Neurospora crassa OR74A: one gene and its partner. Each later gene encodes a partner of the first gene's protein in a complex. Links are inferred from orthologs where the notes say so. Each region holds a gene or a part of one and is shown on either strand. Other genes may lie near its edges.

Region 1 (11,216 bases):
GCCGCTACTGCTAGGGCAAGAGCAAGATACCGAGCGGAAATGGTGGAGATGCTGAAGATATCGGAATAACTCAGAGTGGATGATGATCGAGCAAGGAAAGACAGGACCGCAATTAGGGGCTCGAGAAGCAATGCCATAACGAACGATCCAATGAAGGGGTACCACACGGGGGCTTTTGAGTGTACGAGTCCAGCGAACTCAACGCCAAACACCAGAATACAGGAAAGGAGGCCAATGGTAACGTCTTGCTCGGCAGGGAATTTGTGTAGGATGAAGGATTTGACACCCAAATCGATGAGCTGCAACACGTATGTGAGAATGATGAATACGAGCAGCCAGAGTATAGAACGTCGACGACCATGGTTTTCTTGTGCTGATTTTGTTTGCAGCGTGCAGACAGCTAGCGTTGTCGAAATGATGTAGTAGGTAAACACGGCCGTAGGATAACCGTAATGAAGACATAACAATGCCTGTTTGACCCGAGGATCAAAACTGGCGTGAGCCAAGCTGCTGTCCTCAAAGTTTGGCATCGTTTTGACGAACAGCCAAGCGTCAGCTCAGAGGCTCCTGTAAACAATGCGGCTGAGTGTTATCGTGGCGAGGATAAATGGTGTGTATTAGGCCAAGTAAGGTGGGTTATGTTGGTGGTAAGCAGAACTAATTTGTTGTCCTTCGTTAGCTTTTCCCAAGAGAACAGCTCATGAAAATCATATGAGGATCTTGCTAGGGGAGGGGACTTTACCTGGTGGCCCAAGTTCGTTTCTGAGATCATAAGTGTTGGAAGTTGGTCAACAAGGCCAGCTGGTTTCGCCCGAAAATCACCGTCGAGGTACCGGACAGCTTCTGGCTAGAAGTTCGGAAATGGTGGTAGTCGAAGAAGAAGTGGAGGGGAAGATGATGGAGTTGTGTCTCAAACAAATCGACCACGGCAAAGTCGAGCCCACTTGGAAGTAGCGGTACCTTCCCTAATATTGTTGGATAAAAGCGCCGCCTGGGAGCTTCCAATTCGTTGGTTCGGGGATGCGTCCGAGTTTAGGGTGAAGGGGAACTAACAGGAGGTTTTATGTCACTCCTCTGTGAAAGGGAAGGTGTGGAACTGCGCGAGGCGGCCGCAACAAAGAAGTCCAGGCACAGCCGTCGTCCAGCCAATAACACAACAGCTGGTTGAGAGGGAAGGCACGCCTCTAAATTTCGGTAATCCTGCTGCAAGGCTGAGTTTGAGGAAGGCAAGGGTGACTTCAACAGCTGAGCCAGAGGCACCAGGGGCAGTGATGTAATTGAGGAGTCCTCCCAACTCCCAACGGCTGTGATCAATGGTAGGCAAAGTTCCCGTGGCTGCCTGTCTAGCTGACGAAACGCGAAGCGGCGGATATATGCCCTTGAGGGTTCTGGCCGTTGTACCTTTTTGCTGTCTTGATGAGAGTACACTAGACACCTGAATGGTCCTGGCACACAACTACTCCCAACTTTGACCAACCACTGTTTCCTCAGCTGAAAACAAACTGGGCTATCCTCTGTTCCAGGCTTTTGAGCTGATCAAACCAAATGTCTGTTTGGGAAACTGCTCATACCCATGCTTTCTTCGCAAAAAATAGGCCCAAGAGAGATGGCAAAAGTCCAGCCTTGTCTGTGATCTGATTCCTGTCAAACTGGAAGATTACTAGCTTGTCCTAGGGCGCTGCTCGTTTCTTCTGGTGGTGGCTTCGTTTCCACGTGTTCTGTGTTGTTGTAACAGTTGCTGGTGCCTCCTAGAGTGATCCTTTCTGTCTGGTAGCACGTTTATATCCGTATGTCTTGTTGTTTTTGGGCTGACGTCGATGATTCCTTGGGTTTTCAAGCCTCGTCGAGCCGCTCGGATCTAGAGAGTTATCGATGACTCTTTGAACCTTGCCATACATGCGGGACAAGCCACTTATAAGTCGGTTCTCCTTGCCGACCTGGAGCTAACAACGAGCATAATGTGTTACAGAGCGCAGCAGAAATGAAGCCCTCACTATGCCTGCTTGACACAAAAAACGCCTTAAATGTGTTGTCCCAATGCGTACTATGAATGTACCACGCCGGATCCTCTGTAAGCTTGCAATGCGCAAACTTGAAAGTTGGGAAGCTGTTTGATGTCGTGTACGTCCAAGCCTAGCTTGTCCTTCGATATCGGAAGATGTTGAACTAAGGGGTCGGCATAAATGAAGACTGGCTTATTGTACAAAGAGGAGAGGAAGAGTCGGCGGATGTGTGGGAGTATGCATGGTATCTGACAATTGGAAATAAGGCGGTTTGTTGCGAAGACATCAGAAGCAGGAAAGGCTGACCATGAGTAGCGCAACCAGAGAAGAATACCGCCACGTCGCGAACGAGTAGGAGAATATGACAGGATGGTGTTGGGACAACTAGCCAAAAGAAAGAAAGAAAGAAAGACACAACGTTATTGTACGTTACACAACTAAGCCAACCCGGCGGCATCTAAGCTCTTGTTCCACACCATCTCGTGGGTCGGACATGGAGGCGTCTGGTGGGATGGAGCAGCCCGTTGTGTCTTACGCTTCCCAGCTGGCATGCTTCGCGTGAAAAGAAAGAGACGGTGTGCAAAGGACCCTAGGCAGGCCCAATGTGGGCGTCGACACACAAATTGGCAGAGTCTTCAGACTTGAATGCAGGAGAGCCTTGTGAGGCCATGCTCGAACGACGGGACTTGTTAGCTCTTGGTAGGTATGGCCGTATTCTCTTTTTCCTTCTTCCTGACCTCCAGCATAGTTTTAGTGGCGCCTTTGAGGTTGGGATGCTTGTTGCTCTTGCGAATTGACCCCTGTTATTTCCGCCAAGCATATAATAGTCTCAGTGAGCATCTGTCGTCACATTTTTGATCAACACAATGACAAAATTTGTGCTGTTGACTCCATGAGACGGGTTCGGGACCATCCGAATCATACATTCCGATAGGTATTTCTGACCTTGGTCAATCTAGACTGAGACAGTCTGACCGCCGGAGAAAGGCCCGCACAGAAAACGGAAGGAGAAGCAACGAGAGCAGTCCTATGGATCTCCATTGCTACATTGCCAGCGAGTATGCAAGAGTAACAATAATCGCTCCATGTGGCAGATTGTCGTGCTTCAACAAGCAACATGACAATGACGGCATATGGTTATCCCCTGCTTTGTCGATGCTTCGCGTTGAATGTAGGGAGGACGTGTATCCTCTTGGCCAAGACTAGGAGCCTGGAGTCGATGCGATAAGAAGTAGGACGGCAAGCATCCTTTTCGCGTTGCACCGAGTATGCAATTGGTGCACAGCAGGGAAGACAGTTACCCATTAAACCCTGTCGAACTGTCGTCCCAAGCAAACTTCCGCTTCGCTGTGTTGCAGTGTTTGAGACGGTGCTCGACCGGCCCGTCAATGGAGTCTCAGACAACACGCCTATGGTAATTCTCAACAAAACGAGAGAAACTCGCTGTCAAAAGCTTGATCCGGTTCGGAGTGTCGTTTTCGGCTCCGCGTGCTCCACCCCGACGCCGGCCTTGGCGTCGGCGGTGATCCGAATAATCTCGACTTTGGTTTCTGTCCGGCTCGGTCCTATTCGGTCCTGCCATCGTGGGCTATCTCTTTCATCTAGGCACTATCACCGGTGTTCTTATTTGCATGGCCTGCGACTGAAACGGCTTTCTTGAATGCTTCATATAAGCCATCAATCAGTCCAGACCGCTCGAGATCAACGATTCGTCAGACCCCGTAAATAGTAGTGACGAAGCGCATAATGGCGTTGCCCTACTCCCAGCTTGGAACGACACTCGTGCCAGATGGGAATGGGTATGGGCATTGTGTGGCAACACAACGTTCATAGGAGGGAGGCGGCGTACATGAATGACCGGCAATGATGGGCTTCTAATTGCAAGCCCACGGGTTCCGGTCCCAGGAGAGATCATCGTCAAGCATCGCGAGACCAGAGACAATACCTGCCGCGCCCTTCGGCCCCGTACCTGAGCTGTGTAGCATAGGTATGCGAGTCGGGTGGGACAGACGCGACGCAGACCACCTCAAGAATTGTGTGTAGGTAGACAGTTGATGTTGAATGCTGCCGAGAAAAGCGCTGGTTTATGAGGCGCAAATGGCAAGCATATGGTGCCGCTTGAGGATAGAATTGTGCTCATACAATATAGGGTATCAGTGGGTTACAGCCTAATAACCATGGGTGCATGGTCTAGTGGTATGATTTCTGTTTTGCATTGAAATTTCTATCTTGCTCTACAGACGGTCCCGCGTTCGATCCGCGGTGCATCCAATTCTTTTGACTTTTTGAGTCTCAGAAAGCTATTTGGTTTTTGTTGCATCAACATTGTACCAGATGCCTTGATTTTTGAATTTTTGTTTGGAGAATTTTCTTTCGGCGTGCGCGTGTTTTTGTCTTGCTGAGATCCGGTCACTTGACTGTCTCGATCAATGTACTGGGGCTTATCACATGTGAGATCGGGTGAATCGAGAGAATTAACGACACCAAGTCTCAGTTATGTTCTACATTCGCACGGTACCTTGGTGTATGATTGCCTAATGAAATTCGTTTCAAGCACTATAGGCCATTGGAGGCGGTTAATCAGCTTAAAACAGACCAACGGAGGAGGCTCGGGAGGGGGGAGATGATTCAAGCACAGGCAGAGGATCGATACCAACGTCCTATCCAAAGAACCAATGTCATTGTTCTGTACAAAAGCGGGTATCGCTTCAAAACGCCTATATCTGTTTCGCTCCACAGCTCTTTTGTGACTGCCCTCAGTCCCGCTATTATATTGTACAGTGTGACCATTTCGTCATGGCACCAATCTTTGATCCGTATGCCCTTATTCAGAGTGGTGTGTTTATGCTGGAAATGCTCAAGGCGCCCGCTCCGTAGCCTGCCTTTCTATACATGTGCGACGAAGATTCCGAAACTCCCAATGGCCCCCATGCGACCAGATCCCAGTTTTGGTATGATACATTTATTCTTGGTTGCCGCAACCGATAATAGTGTAGTGAACATAAACAAGCGCTCGACGCCGAGTGGTGATGTGGCAAAAGCGTGCTCCTTCACCTTAAAAGACACGCTCGTTGGAAAAAATGCGGGCTTAGATGTAATCACGCCCGCTCTTCTGCATCTCGATCAATCTCCAACCCCTGGTCTCGGGGTTGTTGACATCCTCAGGAATACGAGTAATGCCAATGGCGTAGGTCACAAGCTGAACCTTGTCCTCCATACCGGCCGCCAACTTTCCAGTCTTGGCGTTCTTGTAAACGTGAACTTCTTGAGTCCTGCAAGTGATGACGAAAACAGGAATGTCGCCAGGCTCAAGCATCCGCGCCTTGAGAACATCAACACCACGGATGTCGAGAATGCGTCCGTCGGACTTGAGACCAGCCTGGAGATACTGCTTGGTCAAAGCCTCATAGACGGAGTACTGGGCCTCCGAGAGCCAGAGCTTCAGTGTTTCAACATCACCCTTGACGTACGCCTCGAGGACTTCAGGAAGGATGTACTCGCGCAACTCCATAAGGAAATTCTCCATGTTGAAGCCGGGGTCCAATTCGCGAAGCTTCTTGATGACCTGAGCGGTCTCGTTTTCGGCGAAGAAACTGCCAATCTTGTCGGTGATACTCCTAGCAGTGGAGATGAGGGGGTTTTCCGACTCCTCGTAGACGGTCTTCAAGCCGAAAACATTCTGGACGAACTTGTTGGAGTCGCGGAAATCCCTCCATGCCTCCTTCCAAGCGGCATCTTTGTGGAGAGTGACGTTGGTTCCGGCACTGCAACAGTTAGCAAATCGACCAGATATGTCCGCAGGGCTTGTTCTTACTTGGGATCCTCCTCAAGGATCTGAGGGCCTTTGCCAGCTGACTCCTTCAGCCACTTCTCTCTGCGTTTCCTACGTTCCTCCTTCTCAGCCCAGCCGCCATATCTGGAGCTGCTTCCGTCATCGATGACGTCCTTCACGTTCTTGTAAGCCTCAGTCTCGCGGATAGGCTTCGTTGCCTTGTCCAGAACCTCTCCGGTGATGTTGGCGCCCTTACGCACTCCCTTCATCACTGGCGTCTCCCAAGTCCACTGAGCACCCTTGCCGACGGCAGTCGCGGTGGTCTTGACAACCTTGCCAGCCGTAGAGGAAACAGTACCAGAGGTGGCTTCGTACGCCTGTCGTGCACGGCGAATGGCCTCGCTCTCTGCGATCTGGTTGGCGGAGGCGGCCAATGCCTTGGTCGACTCGTTCCATTCCTGAGACTGCTTGAACTCGGTCTGCATGGTCTCCATGAAGACCTGCCAGGGAGTCTTGTCACCGTGGGGAGGTGGAGGCGGCGCATCCTCCTTCTTTTCCTTCTTGGGCTCACCCTCTGACTTCTCGCCCTCCTCCTTTGCTTCTTCAGACTTGGACTCTTTCTTTCCAGTGGGCTCTTCTTGCGCCTTGGGTTCGGTCTCTGGCGTTTGCTGCTTAGGCTGCTCCTGTTGCTGCAGCGCGCGGAACGAGGCGTGGAACGAGCGGGCTTGTATCGCGTTAGGGGTAAAAGGCGACCTTAGTAGAGGAATCTCCTGCGCGGAGATGGGCGTGGCGGGAGAGATGCGACTTTCGGTGGTGTTGACACGGGAAGCGCGGCTGGACAAGAGCCGGCTGGTCGCCGGTGACCTGACATGGGTGGTATGAGGAACGGCCGTGGCTCTCAACGGAGCCCCCGGCGACGTCCTTAGGACATGCCTATATGCGTTCATGTTTGCTATCCCAGCTGGACCGTCCTGCGGAAAAACCTGGGAGACGGAGCCTTCAAGCTGATGCAGACAACAAGTCGAAGCACGGGAGTGGAGTGCGTAAAGTTGGCGGACGGAGGGCAATCTTGCAAGGGCCGAGGACAGAACTTAGAATTTGCGCGCAAGCTAATGGAAAATGGATCGGTGGAAATTCTGCTGCAACGCCAATGGCCGGGCAAATCGATCCAATACGCGCTGAATTGGTCGGCTGGACACCGAGGGTCCCCCGAAATCTTTTGGCTTCTTTGCCCCCGCTCGGCCGCAAAACTGCTCCAAAACTGCCCCAGAACATTTCGTTCAGTCCCCCGCTGTCGGCTCACCCTTGTTACCAATGCCAAGAAAAGTGCCTGCCCCACCGCCGACCGGTTTCATGGTCGCCCTTGATTCTGCAGCGGTGCCGCTTGCGTTGCCTGCCCCGCGGCCATCCACTCAAAATTTCGAGGACCTTTGAACTTCCGGTCGGCGAACGGGACGGGAGCCACCCACTCACGGCATTCGCACGCGCACCGCGCACCACGGAGCCACGGTCTCTCCACTACCTGTACGACTCGCTTCCCCCAACTCCGGCATTGTGTGCGCAACTGCTCTTCCACCAGCTCATTCAAGGTCACTTTTCCTTTGTCGTCCACCCCACCGTCGCGACAGCTCCGAGGAGCATTTGGCCAGCAAAGATGAGCCGCTTCTCTACCGGCCGCCTTCTGGCGCAGAACCTCTTCCAGGCCTTCAACAAGCCCGTTTTCCCCAGCGCCACGCCAGTATGGACGCGGGCGTTCTCACAGACCGCCGCCAGGAGGGACGCCGATTCCGAAAGCTCAGCCAAGTTGATGGAGTCTTTGACTCGGGGCATTGTCGGCATGGCCGCAGATCCCACCGATTTGACCGGTGACAAGCTTGCAACCAACATTGGATTGAGGGATACCGAGGACGAGCCATACCACTTCCACATCTACTCGCACAAGCACAACACTCACATTACCGTCACCAAGCCAAACCGCGACGCTCTCATATCCCTTTCGTGCGGCAACCTTGGCTTCAAGAAGTCTAACCGCAAACACTACGACTCGGCATATCAGTTGGGCGCCTACGTGGTAGACAAGATGCATCAGATGAACTTGCACAATAAGATCAAGAAGATGGAGGTGGTCTTACGAGGATTCGGCCCTGGCAGAGAGGCGGTCATCAAGGTTCTGCTTGGAAACGAAGGAAGGATGTTGCGCAGCTCCATCGTACGTGTCAGCGATGCCACACGCCTCAAGTTCGGTGGTACAAGGAGCAAGAAGCCCAGACGTTTGGGTTAAGCGAGTGCAGCTGGTCTTGGGGACAGAATTGGATGGGGAGCCGTCACAGCCTGGCTGGCAGCAATGGGCTGGCGGTCGTGTACATGTCATGTATAAACAAGAATCTGTCATTGAATTGCATGTTAGGATACCCGGAAGGGGACCGCATGCCGATCCGCTTCCAGGTTCTGTTCTCTTCATTTCTTATGACATTTAAAAGGGTGCTTTGAGGCTCAGAGAGCGTATTTGTTGCTGTACATGGCCCAAGGATGAGCTTCCGGATGTCCCATTGCATTGGAGACCACGGCGAGGAACACCGAATCGTTGGATTACCTTGGTTCCGATACTGTACTGTAGCGTCCCTCTTGGGAATCTAGAGGTACCGGCAGCCCGGCAAGAACCGTACTGTTGGACCCACTTAAATTTTCAATTGTCGGCATGGCTCCCGGCGACGGGAGCTAAACGTCGAACATTAACCAAATTCGGATGAATTCCACCTTATCCCAGACCTCATCCGACCCGGAGCCCTCTCAATTCTTGCCGACCCTTTTCGGCCTTCAACCTCTTCCGCAAAGCCATGTAGAATAGAGAACTTCGACCACAATGTCGACCGATCCGCAAACCCCGCTTACAGCGGGATCAATTCTCAACCTCGATGTGCTCTTCAACAATCCCGTTTTCGCCGGTGGCATGGGCCTCGCCGGCCTTGGCGCCGCCGCCGCCTTTGGTCGCCGGGCTGCCATCCGTGGTGCCGGATTACTGAAACGTCAGATGCTGGTCAATGTCGAGATCAGCAAGCGTGATCCTTCCTATAACTGGGTCCTTGCCTGGCTGGCGCTGCCGCGAGACAACACCGGCTTCATCGCCCAGCGACTGACGCGGCTCCGCAACCTCTCCGTCTCTACCACCACCAAGTCTATCACCCCCGGCAAGGACGAAGGAAGCTCGCACGCAGATTTCCGCGTGCAACCCGGCTTTGGCCGCCACATCATCCGGCACAAACCCGGCGTGTACATCGCCGTGAACCGGGAGAAGGCGAGCACGACTCAGACGGCAACGGGCGAGCCGCACGAGACGCTGACCCTCACCCTCTTGTGGCCGCACCGACATGTGCTGGGCGAGATCTTCACCGAGGCGCACCAGATGGCGCACCGCTTCCACGAAGGCAAGACGGTCGTCTACACGGCGAAGCGCATGGAGTGGATGCCATTGGGCAAGCCCAGGCTCAAGCGGCCTCTTGGTAGCGTCATTCTCGACAAGGGCGTTAAAGAGAGCATCGTAGACGATGTGAAGGAGTTCTTGGCGGCCCAGCAGTGGTACACCGACAGAGGCGTGCCCTACCGTCGTGGCTACCTTCTCTATGGCCCGCCCGGTACTGGGAAAACGTCCTTTATCCAGGCGCTCGCGGGCGAGTTGGATTACAGCGTTGCCATGATCAACCTCAGCGAGGTCGGCATCACGGATGATTTGCTGGCTCACCTGTTGACCCAGCAGCCTGAGAAGAGCATTTTGGTTCTGGAAGATGTCGACGCTGCGCTCGTCAACCGGAGACCGAGGGATTCTGATGGCTACAGCGGCGGCACAGTGACGTTTTCCGGTCTTCTCAATGCCCTAGACGGTTTGGCTGCCGGCGAAAACCGGATAGCCTTCCTCACCACCAACCACATCGATCGCTTGGACCCGGCCCTGATCCGCCCTGGCCGTGTCGACATGATGATGCGCATTGGCGAGGCAACCAGGCACCAGGCTGCCGAGATGTGGGATCGCTACTATGGTGACATTGACACGGACCATTCCGGCCGCGAAAGGTTCCTCAACAGGCTAGATGAGCTCGGACTCTTTGGCGAGAACAACCAGGACCCCGATGCTCCCAAGAGACATACCTCGACGGCGGCTATCCAGGGTCTGTTCCAGTTCAACAAGAATGATATGGAAGGTGCTATTAGAATGGCTGAAGGCTTGATTCCCCGGACCTTTGTGGCCGAAAACCCTTCAAGTGATGGCAGCATGAAGTCTCCGGCATGAACGAGGATGGACGGCCTGGCACGAAATCATGTACGAATAGCTGTATAACAAGACATTGTTCAGGAGCAAAAAGAATGATACCCATTATAGCAACCCGTCTTGAATGCTAATTTGAATGAAGTATTGAATCTGCTTTGCTATCATTGTCGTCATGTTAAGGTTATGTATGGTTCATCCTATTCTCGGAAGTGAATATATCATATCAAGAGAGAAGGGTTGACTCGATTAGCGGGCTCGAAGAAGTGTATAGTATTTCTAGACGACCCTTTTACTCACGCTGGAGTGAAAGGGTCAAATAACAGGGCATGCAGAGGGTTTCTTTCCCGAATCATCCTACACAATGAATTTGATTACAACATTCTCTTGAAGTGGAACAGCCAGGTTCGTCTTTTTCAATGTTCTATATCATTACGCTGTTTGGAGTCAAAGATTTTTCTCTACTGGTGGTTTAGGTCTTGCTTCCTGCTTAAATCTTATTTCCGCTCTTTCCAGATCCGCCTCACTTCTTCCGAGTCCTTTGTGACCTTCAAACCCACTATATAAGCCCAACTTTTCCCACCGGGGCTCACGCATATAGCGCCACGGATGTTTCTATGCCACACTCGTAATAGTGACCGTACCTATGCTGCCCGTAGACCTCTAGTTCAAAGAATGACCATTATTTCCTTTCGTCTTTTCATCTCAATAAGGAAGTGCCGTCCAGGATGATGCATCGTGACGTCGAACCTTGAAGGAGACCTTGGAAAAGAGGGACAGAAAGCTAGCTTCTATTTATGATTCCGACCAAACACCTCTACAACGGAACTATACCGGAACCTTTCTCTCGACGGTTATTGGGCGAAATGCGCTGTCAGAGCTGACAGTACATGTACAGGCGCATATTTCCAAGTTGCTGTTGGACGCTTAACGTGACTTTCGCCAAGCCGTTGCCTCCTTGTTATCTGATCCCACCTTCCCTGCAGGGCAGGATCCGACATCCCTCTCGTCTTGAACTGTAAATTGACTGTACAGACCCTGTACAGCCAGCAGCATTCGAAACCATCACTCTTTATCGTCGTCGTCCCTTTCATCTTAACAATTTGCCTTGGACATTCGCCTTGGACCATTCGCCTTTACCCGATCGCAACGTTCAGAGCAGCAGCACTTCCCGTCATGG
Region 2 (10,300 bases), on another chromosome or scaffold:
TTCCGGAAGCAAGTGCAACTCAAGACACACAGTGTCATGTGTTGTGGCACGATAGATTCGTGACCAGATGATAGGGCTTTTCGGCTTTGCTGCCCAACGTCTGTTCACCTCATCTACTGCTCCAGGCTTGTTTATTCGATCAATACGGCCGCCAAATGTCAAGACTTTCAAGCATTATCTTGTTCAAGGCGGTGCAAGCGAATGTATACAAACAGCATCTTTTTGGTCGATATTATCTGGTTGTCGGTCTTATGTGTGATGCTTTGTTTACTTGTTCGTCACTCCCTCCGTCCTCCCAACGAATTTGGGTCTGGCATGCACAGTGCCAATTCTGCTACCGGCATTTAGGCAGACTACGCATCCATAGTAGTGCAACGACTAATACACTTCAACTTATCCAACCGTTTGCATGACATGCCTTTATCTGATCACGAGCAGTCATTTTACTTGTGATTCAGTCTGTAAGGCCGGCCCAGGGAATCGTCTTTTCCCTTCACAGGAATTGCCCATTTCTCCTCTTTGCCAAGTGGGGTCCTTTAATTCAACACTTACTTATTGTTCCGTCCTTTGTGAACTCTACAGTGGGGCACCTGTAGGCCTCATACCGTACCTCAAATCGTCACCACCTCAACGGGTAGTTGCGATTCTGTTCACTTATCTGTGATCGCTCCTTCCATTTTCGTCCCTTTCTAGTGTCCTGTTGGGAGCCTCCCACTGACGCGCCCGCTCACTCGCACCTTCCGCGTTGGTTGTAAGTACTGCTCAAGACCATTATTCACTTGAAGAATTAAGGAGCCTAAATCCGTTTCATCAACTGACCATCTGAACAAAATAGGTTTTCGGATGAGAAGTTTGGCCACTATCCAGGGCTTCCCATTCACTTCCATTGTGTCTGCCTAAGGACTATTTATATTTCCCTCGCTCACCTCTTCTCCGAAATATCTATTCCCTCCCGGACAATCGCTTTCGCGCAAGCCCTCCGCCCAGCAACGACAACCGCCCTACGACTGCGCGCGAGCCCACTTCGTTCAAGCGACGCTTTTTTCTTCCCTTCATTTCGCATCCTACCCTACGACACGTAAGTGGAATATCGTAGCAGAGACACCTAGGCTGAGATCTCCATTTGCCGAAAACGTCCCTCTCCAGATCAGCCGCCCCCTCATATTGCTGGCCCTATCACCACACCCGAGAGACATCACCAGATCCAAGATTAGAATCGCCGGCGTCGACTTCATGTCCAAGGCTAACTGATCTCTTAGTCACTCCTAACCGAACTATCGCTCGCCACCATGGAGGACGAGCAGTTCATGCAACAGCTGCGGAACCTTACCTGCCAGACTGTGGACTGGAGCGGATTCGATCCTTCGAAGTGGCGCGACGAAGACATCAATGACTGGGACATTAGTGATGACGCCCAGGGTGATGAGGACGACAATTATGCATCCGACGCTTCTATCCTGAGCGCCCGCCATCTGGATCCCTTTAACGTCAAACCTGCTACTCGCCCTCACCATACTGGCCCTACCTCCTTGCGCATTGAGGACGTGACCGACGAGCAGGAAGAGTACCGCGATGCTTCGGACTTGGAGAACATCAGCTGGCCAGAAGTCAGCGTGGAGCAGGGCGAGATCGATCCCATTACAGAACTCTTTACTCCCTGGAGAATGGTTCTGGAGTATCCCAACCTGTTTGTTGGCAAGCGCAACGGCGCGAGGGTGAGACCCATCATCGCAGTATGGATGAGTGTGACGCTAACAGTTCGTTCCCAAGGCTCGGCCTCTTTTTACGCTCGAGAGCCTACACGAAAACCGCATATGGGATCTGTAAGAGGTTGAGGTCTTATCGGGGTTGAGTCCACGACACTGTGTTAACACGCTCCAGATTCTACCTCTACCGGCCGTCCAACGAGGGGAACAATAATCCCTTGATCTTCGTCCCAACCTACCAGATGCAGCACCTACTCGACGTCATAAACAGAAAACTTGACGTAGAGTTCACGTTTCCTCGCGGACATCAAGACATGTTCGCCATGCCATTTGGGCAGAGTAATACAGCGAAACCGCGATTCCTTGGCCGTTCCAGATCTGCCGAGGAATGGAAGCAGCTTACGAACAACGTCCCGGCGCGTAAGCCCGGAGACACGTCGGAAAATGCTCCTTTCCTTGCCAAGCAGGAGCTCACACGCCGCTTGAACAGCATCTTTTCAATCCAAGACAAGAGCAAGAAGACCAAGAACAACCAGTACAAGCGAAGCAATCTTCACCGCGCCTGGGGAAAAAATATCAAGAGGGTTCAGCGGTATCTCGGTCTTCGCCGCAGAGTTTTATCTGACCCGGAAGTGTCATCATATACCCCGCTGGATCTCACCCAGCCTACTGGCATCCAGCCGGAGAAGTCTGTCGTGTTTGTGGCGATTGACCTTGAGGCTTATGAACTGGACCAAAGCATCATCACCGAGGTCGGCCTGGCAATTCTTGATACCGCGGAGATCACAAATGTTGCTCCTGGTGAAGGCAGCAAGAACTGGTTCGACTTCATCAAAGCACGACATATTCGCGTCAAGGAGTTTTCGTGGGCCCAAAACTCCAGGCATGTCCAAGGCCGCGCCGAATACTTTGACTTTGGGTATGTGTGATCTCATCCCTCATCCTTGCCCTGTCCCTGCCCCAAATCCGAAACCGAATTACTAACAATGTCCAGCGAGAGCGAGTTCATCGAGGTCGCGAAGATCGCCAGCGTTCTGAAGGAGACCATCGAGGGAGAGTCCTCCATCGGTGGTGAGGGAGCAAAGCGCCCCGTGGTCCTTGTATTCCACGACCAATCTCAAGATCTCAAATACATTCGCATGCTTGGCTATGATGTGGCCAGCGCGGACAACATTTTGGAGGTGGTAGACACTCGAGAGATGTACCAGTATCTCAGCCGTTCGAACAACGCCTCCAAACTTTCGAATGTTTGTGGCTACCTCGACATTCCGTGGAAGAACATGCACAACGCTGGAAATGACGCGGTCTACACTCTTCAGGCCATGATGGGCTTGGCCATTGACATGCGGCAGAAGAGCTTGGAGAGGGCTGCTGCGAAGGCTTCAAAGGCGAATACGAGGTAAGTCTTCAAGAAGAAAGGCCACAGGCCGGACGAAGTGCTGATATAATCATGTTTCTTTTAGTAACGATGGTTACGTTACTTACTCTGAATTCACCGCGACGAAGGAGGACGTCGATGAGGGTTGGATCAGCACCGGGGAGCTGTCTGATGGTGGCGAACCAAGCTTGGTGATGGCGGCGAGCACCGTCCCTAACTCCGTCGTTGAGACTACTGTGTGTGAAAACTGGGAGTTGTAATGGCTATGAGACTACCATATTTCCACCACCACTGCCCAGGGCGTAGGTGTACCTGGGAAAAGTTAGCTGATAAACTGGAGTCGAAGCAAGGCAAAGGGGCACAGGCAGGCAAGAAAAGGTGAAAAGGGCTGCACTCCAGCCAAAGCGAGCATCAAACCAGCATCTGGCAATGTTGTAACGCGCATCATCTAGTCTACGGCGTGTATACAGTGAAAAGGAGAACCGCTAAACTATTCAGTCCATGTGGCACAGAACACAATAATCGTATTGGTGCTAATATTTTTACATGGGTATGTTATTCAAGTTGTGCAAAGCGTACAAAAGCCTCCTACTTTTTTTCCATCCAAGCCACCCGCAAAGCCAAAAACCCGTCAACGCCAGTGCTATGAAGAACCATATGTGTGTTTTTGTTGTACAAGAATAGGGTAAGGAGCTTGTCTGAGGCCAATGTGTAGTAGCAGGCCGTATCATCATGGCGTAGGTGCTTTCTGATCGAACTCTGTCCTGTCTCGCGGCTCAGGCTTGACGAGATGCTGCTTGTAATCGAGTACCGCAGTGTTCCGCTAGCAGTGTTTGACGACTACCGTAGCCGGAGCTGCATACCCCAACCACTCAGCCCACTGAGGCGACACTGGTATCGTCGTAACAGACAAACTCGAGCTGGAGTTGGAGAGTGGTGTAAGGATGTCAATCTGTATTGTTCGTCTGTGTAAGACCTCCAAGAGACTCTAGACTCGCCTCTCACAGTTCCATCGTCGAGATCGATCAAATTAATCGCCTCGCATGGCGTTGCACTGCATCGAGACGGATTGGACCGAACAGATTGATCGGTCAACGAGATCAATCAAAATGGAACCTAGACGCTCTTTTCAAGGAACTCCTTAGCCTCGTTGACCTTGGTGGCCAGATACGGGCTGCCGCCACGATCGGGGTGGTTGAGGAGCATGAGGGTGCGATGGGCCTTGCGAATCTTGTCCTTCGTGATGGTGCGCTCACTGTTGGAGGGTAAGTGTTAGTTACTGGTTCCCTTTCGATTCATGGGGCTGACTCCGAAAGGTGGAACGCTATGTAGATGCGGGTGTGTGTGATGATGGGTAGGACGGAGCAACGGATGGATGAATGTATGAGACAAAGAGGTTCGTGGCCGGGCAGGCAGGCAGGCAGGCAGGCCATGAGGGACGAAGCAAGAAAGGGAAGAAAGAGGCATGGAATGGATGGGCACAACGACACAGGAGCGACAACGGACAACGACAAGGCGGACTGAACAAGACATACTTGAGCGAGAGAATCAACGAAGCCTCCTTCTTGTTCATCCGCGGCTCGAAACCACCCTTGTAGAAAGCCTTGCCGAGGGCGCCAACGCCGCCGCGCGAGCGGCGCCATGCTACGAGACCTGCGCGGCCCTGTTTTTGTTGGTAGGAAGGTTAGCTGATTCTTATTCTTTCCTCTTCCATGATCAACAACGACGTGGCTCAGGCATGACATCTGTTTCCAGTGGCTTTTTTTGTTGTTGAGTGATGGTAGAGACAGTGATTAAAGTGTGATGCCTGCCGGTGCGGGATCCATTCGCGAGCGATGGGAGTAGGACTCACCAGGAAAGCGGCGACGGCGACGCCGGCGCCAATAGCTACTGCTGACGACATTGTGATTGTGCGGGTTGGGTTTGGGTTGTATTGGGTTTATGGGAGTCGGTTGATGTTGACGTCGTCCGGGGACTGATGCTCAGTTGAGGCTGTCGTCAGTGATCAAGTGCGGGTGGGTTGATCTTGGGCGGGCCGGCGTATCGATGTACGGATACACGGGTAGAATGGGATGGATGGAGTTCGGTGATGCGAGGACGGGACGGCGAGGTTTGTCCGTTGTTTAAGCGAACTTTTTTGCCGGCAGCGGCAACGTATCAGCCCTTTATGGCGGGCGTTATCGGGTTTGCCGCGCGTGTTACGGCAGGCAATGGCGGGCACCTTGAGCGCTGCCAAGCGTTGGGAGGTGAATATGCGACTAACAGAGGCTCGGACTCGCTTAGCGCATAGGCAACGCTTCGTTACACACATCATAGACTATCATCACTATCGTCGCCGTCCGCTCACACCTGCTACATGTTGTCAACTATCGCTCAACCAGCTTATACAATTCGTATGCTGAGCCGATAACTTGTGCGGACTGCCCGCACGTCAATGTCGAGATTGATGCCGCTTCCGTGGAAGTGAATGCTTTGCGTCAACTCCACCTAACGGATGATCAAGATCCGAAAATGATAAACATACATAAACGTCGTTAACAAGGCCTCCATCGCAAATTTTTGGCTATCGGTAAACAGCCCTGCTTCTTCCCGTCAGTCTGACGGTGTCGTAATCCAGAGCCCGCTCAAAACTTGCCTGCTTGAGGGGACTAAAGGGGGTATCATTGCCCATTACACAGCATACCAATCGGTTCCTCCTACTTCCCGATTGTAGCGATGTGCATGGGTTTGCTTGTGCATCGTTTTCCATCTCTTTCCCAAACTCCCTTTTGACCAACCCAACGAAACGTGAACAGAACCAGAACCATGACCACCCATCTCATCACACATATCCCTTCATCCACCTTTTTTACGCAGACCCTCATCATCAAGGGTACGTCTCAAGGCTCAGCAGACACCAACCTCTCATGCTTTAGCTCAAACTTGGCATGATACGCCGGTCTCGGCATTGCCAGCCCGGCCTCCACATCCTGCAACACCCTCGCGTTAAGATCCTCTATCATCTTGCGCTGCTGCTCTGGGTCCAGTCGATGCTGGGCGCTTCGCGCCGCGTTATCGTTGTAGTTGCCCGCGCCGCCACGCCCGCTCAGCCGGCCGGAGAGGTTCGGCCGCTGGATGCTCGCCGTCACGACGCGCGTCAGCTCCTCGAGCTCGGCCTCCTTCTCCTCCTCCTGCTGCTGGGCGGCGGCCGCGTCGGTTGCCGAGGCGTCGTAGAAGTTGCCGGCGCCGCCGCGACCACCGGCTCGCGAGCTGCTGAGACTGGTTTGTGCGGTGATGGAGCGCTCGAGGGTTGTTGGCGAGGTAGAACCGGAAGAAGACTTCTTTTGCGCTTCGAGATCCTGTGGGGTTGGTTTGAGAATGGCGAACAATACGAAAAGACAGCCGAGGCACAGGCGGATCAAAGGAGAAGTGTTTGTCCGATTTCGTGTGTGCAATGGATGGGTACACTCACAGCAGCCGCCTTCTCGGCATCCTCAATGTCCTTTTTACTATACCAATTGCCCGCACCTCCGCGGCCCACTCTGCGGAAGACTTCCGATGACATTTCGAGTCCGCGCGACGAGAACGACTGGTAACCAAGTAAAAGATAAAAGGGCGAGTGGTAGGTAGGTAGGTAGGGAAAGGTACGTAAGCACGACTGGTAGGTTCAACGCCCAACAACAGCAGCAGCAGCAACAGGCCAACAGGAGTCCTTAGACAACAAAAGGGTAGGAGTAAGTAGCGTGAAGTAAGCTTGGTTCTTGACGAGAGAAAAAAAAAAAAAAAAAAAAAAAACCTTGTTTGTTATGTCGCGGCCAGGTTGACGAGTTTCAGGGAGGCAACGCTGATCCGATTGAAGACGGCGCACACCCGCCGGGAACATCCAATTGCTTGTGTACATGTAGGGGACTTTATTGCGGGGTTGTTGATTTTTCACATTAACACATGCATCCCATGACATTGCCAATGCCACACGTAACCAATCCGTCTTACTCATCTCCAAACTTCTAATTAGAGTGCCAGAGGCCTCCTTGGAGTGTCATCAACAGCCCGAGGAAGTTAAGCCGGGACCACAAACTACGTAGGTACTCCTTGTTATTATCGTCAAGGCTTGGTCCGGTCAGGCCCATTCCCTCTCTGCTAGACTGCCACAGCCATTTCGCGTGATGCTCGTACGAATACATAGGAGCTACGGCCAACAGCGCCATGCCACTCGGTAGATGTAGCTATCCTTTACAAGTATCACTACTCGACTTCACTACGAATGAGTATTCAACATTGTGGCCTCAATCTTCATGTCTGGCTGTCAGGGTACCGCAGATCCAAACAGTGGTCCGCCTCGGGTTGGTTATGTCGATCAAGTAAAGTATCTACACTAGACTACATGATGGCTTCGGCACCTCCCGGTTCCCGTCGACCGTTGCGAAAGCACAAGTTCCATGGATTTCCTTTATACCACCCCTCTTCCTCTCTCCATGTTCCATTCTGAGAACTTCGTTCTTTTGAAAGGATGCTGCGGGCTTGTCCAGGCCAGTACTATATACCATGCCTACACCTCCGGTTATGCATCCAGCAACGGCCCAGGGCGCGAGAATATCAATAAGCCTAGACCCCTGCTGCGCTGGTATTGATGCAGGTACAAGCCGACCACAGATACTTCTTGATCTCAAGCTTTTGTTATCAGATAATGAACTGCAAGTTTGTCACGCATCCCGTGCTGGTACCGTCTTTTCCACAAAGGTCCCATCAGTGATCTGGAGTTAGATGTTCAACTTGCGTATCCTTCTCCAGCGCGGTCGAGCCAACTCACCGGTTTTTTTTTTTTTTTTTTTTTTTTTTTTTTTTTTTCGGTGTGATGCCTGAAGCCGAATTTGATGAACACCGTCAACTGTTCCACCGTAAAAACGTGCGGGGTAGAAAGGAGTCCTTCTCACTTCCAGCGTTGATTGGTGAGGTGCACAGAAGTAGAGGACGAACTCTTGTCAAGGTACGTGTACAATGCCTAGAATAGAATGCTCCTCCTTGAATGGATAGGTGTGAACACCGATCATTAAGACGTTGCGAACTCTGTACTGACCCCGATCGACCTACCTAACAAACTCAACAGATTAGGTATAAACGGGGAAGTAGCAGAGGATCGCAAAAGCCAACTTCGAAGTCCAATTTTTTTTTTTCTTTTACACTTAAATCCGACCCCGATCATATCAAACAGCCGGCGACTAAGCCGCCGATCTCGTCACATGTTTTCATAAAAACGGAACCATCGTCTGCCGAATAAGGCTTCCACTGCCCGCCGGTCCGTGAGGAATTCCAGTGCCCCATCATTGACGGAATATTTCAGCACATATGACCCACGGGAGACTTCGCCGTCAAAACACTGAATCCAAGGACGGAGTCAGACTTTCAGAAGTGTCTCTACAAAGCCCGCCATTTCCCGGCCGGGACCGGAGGGATCGGATGGGAACTGGGCCTCCACTTGTCGTGTGTCTGCCTTTCTTGGAATCCTTGCTAGGGAAGTTCAACCATGTACTTGGTCAGACTGTCCCGTCGGTTTCCGCTATTCAACGTCATTTCGTGGATCGTTCCACGCGAGCGAGGAACGTCGCAGAAGAGAGACCACATCCCCAGCTGTTTCGCAATTGATACATGAATATCTTGTACATTTATGCTGCTGGTGACCTGCCTTTTTGCAATTACTGTGCCGCTTCCAAAGGGTTACAGAGCACAATCCGTGGCACATGCCTTTCTTTCTTTCTTTGGATCTTGTAGTGTGTGAGTATCTTTCGTGAGAAGAAATGTGACGGACACTGTAGCCCGTTTTCACCTCGTGTGCTCATGGGTGTATTTTAGACAGTCTCGAGGCCTGGCTGGCAGCGCGTCCCTTACGTCGAATGCAGGTGACGTTGGGCGGCATCTGGCTCGAAGGCAGGTGACGGACAATCTCGAAAATGGTACATATTCTGTTGGTCAGCGGATAGGCTACATAGATAGAAGGTAGGTGTCGTCCGAAAAGGCGAACCATATTGGAATGAAGAGCATAGTAAACTTCAATGTACATAGTACTCTTTCCGATGGCCCAACAAAACCTTAAAGCCTCTTCAGAATCCGACACGGAGAAATTCAACGAAAAAAACATAAATAAACAAATAACTGTGACTGGGAATTGTCAATCTGTCCCACTGCAGCCTTACCTCACCTCCATGCGAGCCAGTTGGATATCGTCCAGCTTGCCCAACTTACCCACTCTTTGCCCTGCCCGTCCTGATGATCTGTGCCTTAGCCTGATGGGCTAAACAGGCAGAGGTTTTTTTGCCACTGGACGACCGCCGCGAAGCCTTAAAAGTAGTGTAGGTCTGATGAAGTGACCAGACCCACCGGTATACAGGTACAAGTATGCCCTGCTACCAAAATCAGACCCCTGTCAATACAATTTCAGACCACTAACCGTTGCAATTGCACGTTATAGTTTTTACATCAGAGGGGGGTGCGGGCAGTCGAAATCCTTTGCAAAAGAGGGGGATTTGCTTTGTATCAACAGGGGTTTTAACTGTATTAGGGTCTCCTTCAACCAGAAAGCCCGGGGGCACTTTTGACGATGTTGAGAAATGGTTGGATGTCGGCTATCAATGTCGTCTTGTTAGGTATCAATAAGATGGAGCTTCCCTCCATGTTATCATGAGCTCTGCCTTTTTTTTTTGCCCCTCTCTTTCCTCTTGGACAAGTTTCGAGTTTGGCATGCATGTCTTGCGGCTCAAATCCCGAATGGTCTCGAATTGGGGCATCGGAACCCCAAATCCCCAACACTGGGTCTTCTTGCAAGGGGGAAAAAATGACTTTCACCGGGTTAGCATCGGTTGGGAGTGTAGTCTAAACCCGAGAGAGCCTGCTAGAAACTCCGTTCCGTCACTCGCTGGGTCCATCCACGAAGCTCCGCTCAGCTCATTTTCTCTCCATTCTTGAGCCAGGTCCAGAATGGTTACTGGAAAGTCAGAGGAGGAGATGTGACAGGTGGAAAAGCCCAGGACAGACCAAACGGTAGCTTAATTCTCCAAAAATCTGGGGAAGCAAGAAAGCTAGGGGAAATACAGTAGGGTTTCCTTCCTTGGCGATCTCGTCATTCCGATGGTTGGTTTCAACGGCCCACTTGAGACTGTTCTGCTCTTTTGGGACGGGTATTTCTCCCAATGATCAAGTTGGGTGATTGGACGAGCTGAACAGGGTGAGACGTGAGATTGAT

Evidence for each region.
Region 2: tim44 (region 1) and tim14 share a complex: the UniProt entries of both Schizosaccharomyces pombe proteins name them as parts of the PAM complex. The link is inferred for Neurospora crassa OR74A from reciprocal best matches to the Schizosaccharomyces pombe genes tim44 and tim14.

What each region holds. Positions count from the first base shown.
Region 1 is NC_026501.1:4,979,405-4,990,620, forward strand, and holds tim44 (mitochondrial inner membrane translocase subunit TIM44), read right to left. Parts: upstream 6,926-11,216; 5' UTR 6,723-6,925; coding exon 5,818-6,722; intron 5,768-5,817; coding exon 5,092-5,767; 3' UTR 4,541-5,091; downstream 1-4,540. Other genes in the region: NCU03228 (heavy metal tolerance protein), read right to left, coding at 1-530; NCU03230 (mitochondrial ribosomal protein subunit S18), read left to right, coding at 6,926-8,056; NCU03231 (mitochondrial chaperone BCS1), read left to right, coding at 8,639-10,060. UniProt on the Schizosaccharomyces pombe protein: Essential component of the PAM complex, a complex required for the translocation of transit peptide-containing proteins from the inner membrane into the mitochondrial matrix in an ATP-dependent manner.
Region 2 is NC_026503.1:2,522,038-2,532,337, reverse strand, and holds tim14 (mitochondrial import inner membrane translocase subunit tim-14), read right to left. Parts: upstream 5,200-10,300; 5' UTR 4,988-5,199; coding exon 4,937-4,987; intron 4,748-4,936; coding exon 4,620-4,747; intron 4,340-4,619; coding exon 4,201-4,339; 3' UTR 3,587-4,200; downstream 1-3,586. Other genes in the region: qip (QDE-2-interacting protein), read left to right, coding at 1,290-1,715, 1,771-1,823, 1,882-2,625, 2,701-3,105, 3,170-3,344; NCU00074 (hypothetical protein), read right to left, coding at 5,964-6,422, 6,536-6,628. UniProt on the Schizosaccharomyces pombe protein: Essential component of the PAM complex, a complex required for the translocation of transit peptide-containing proteins from the inner membrane into the mitochondrial matrix in an ATP-dependent manner.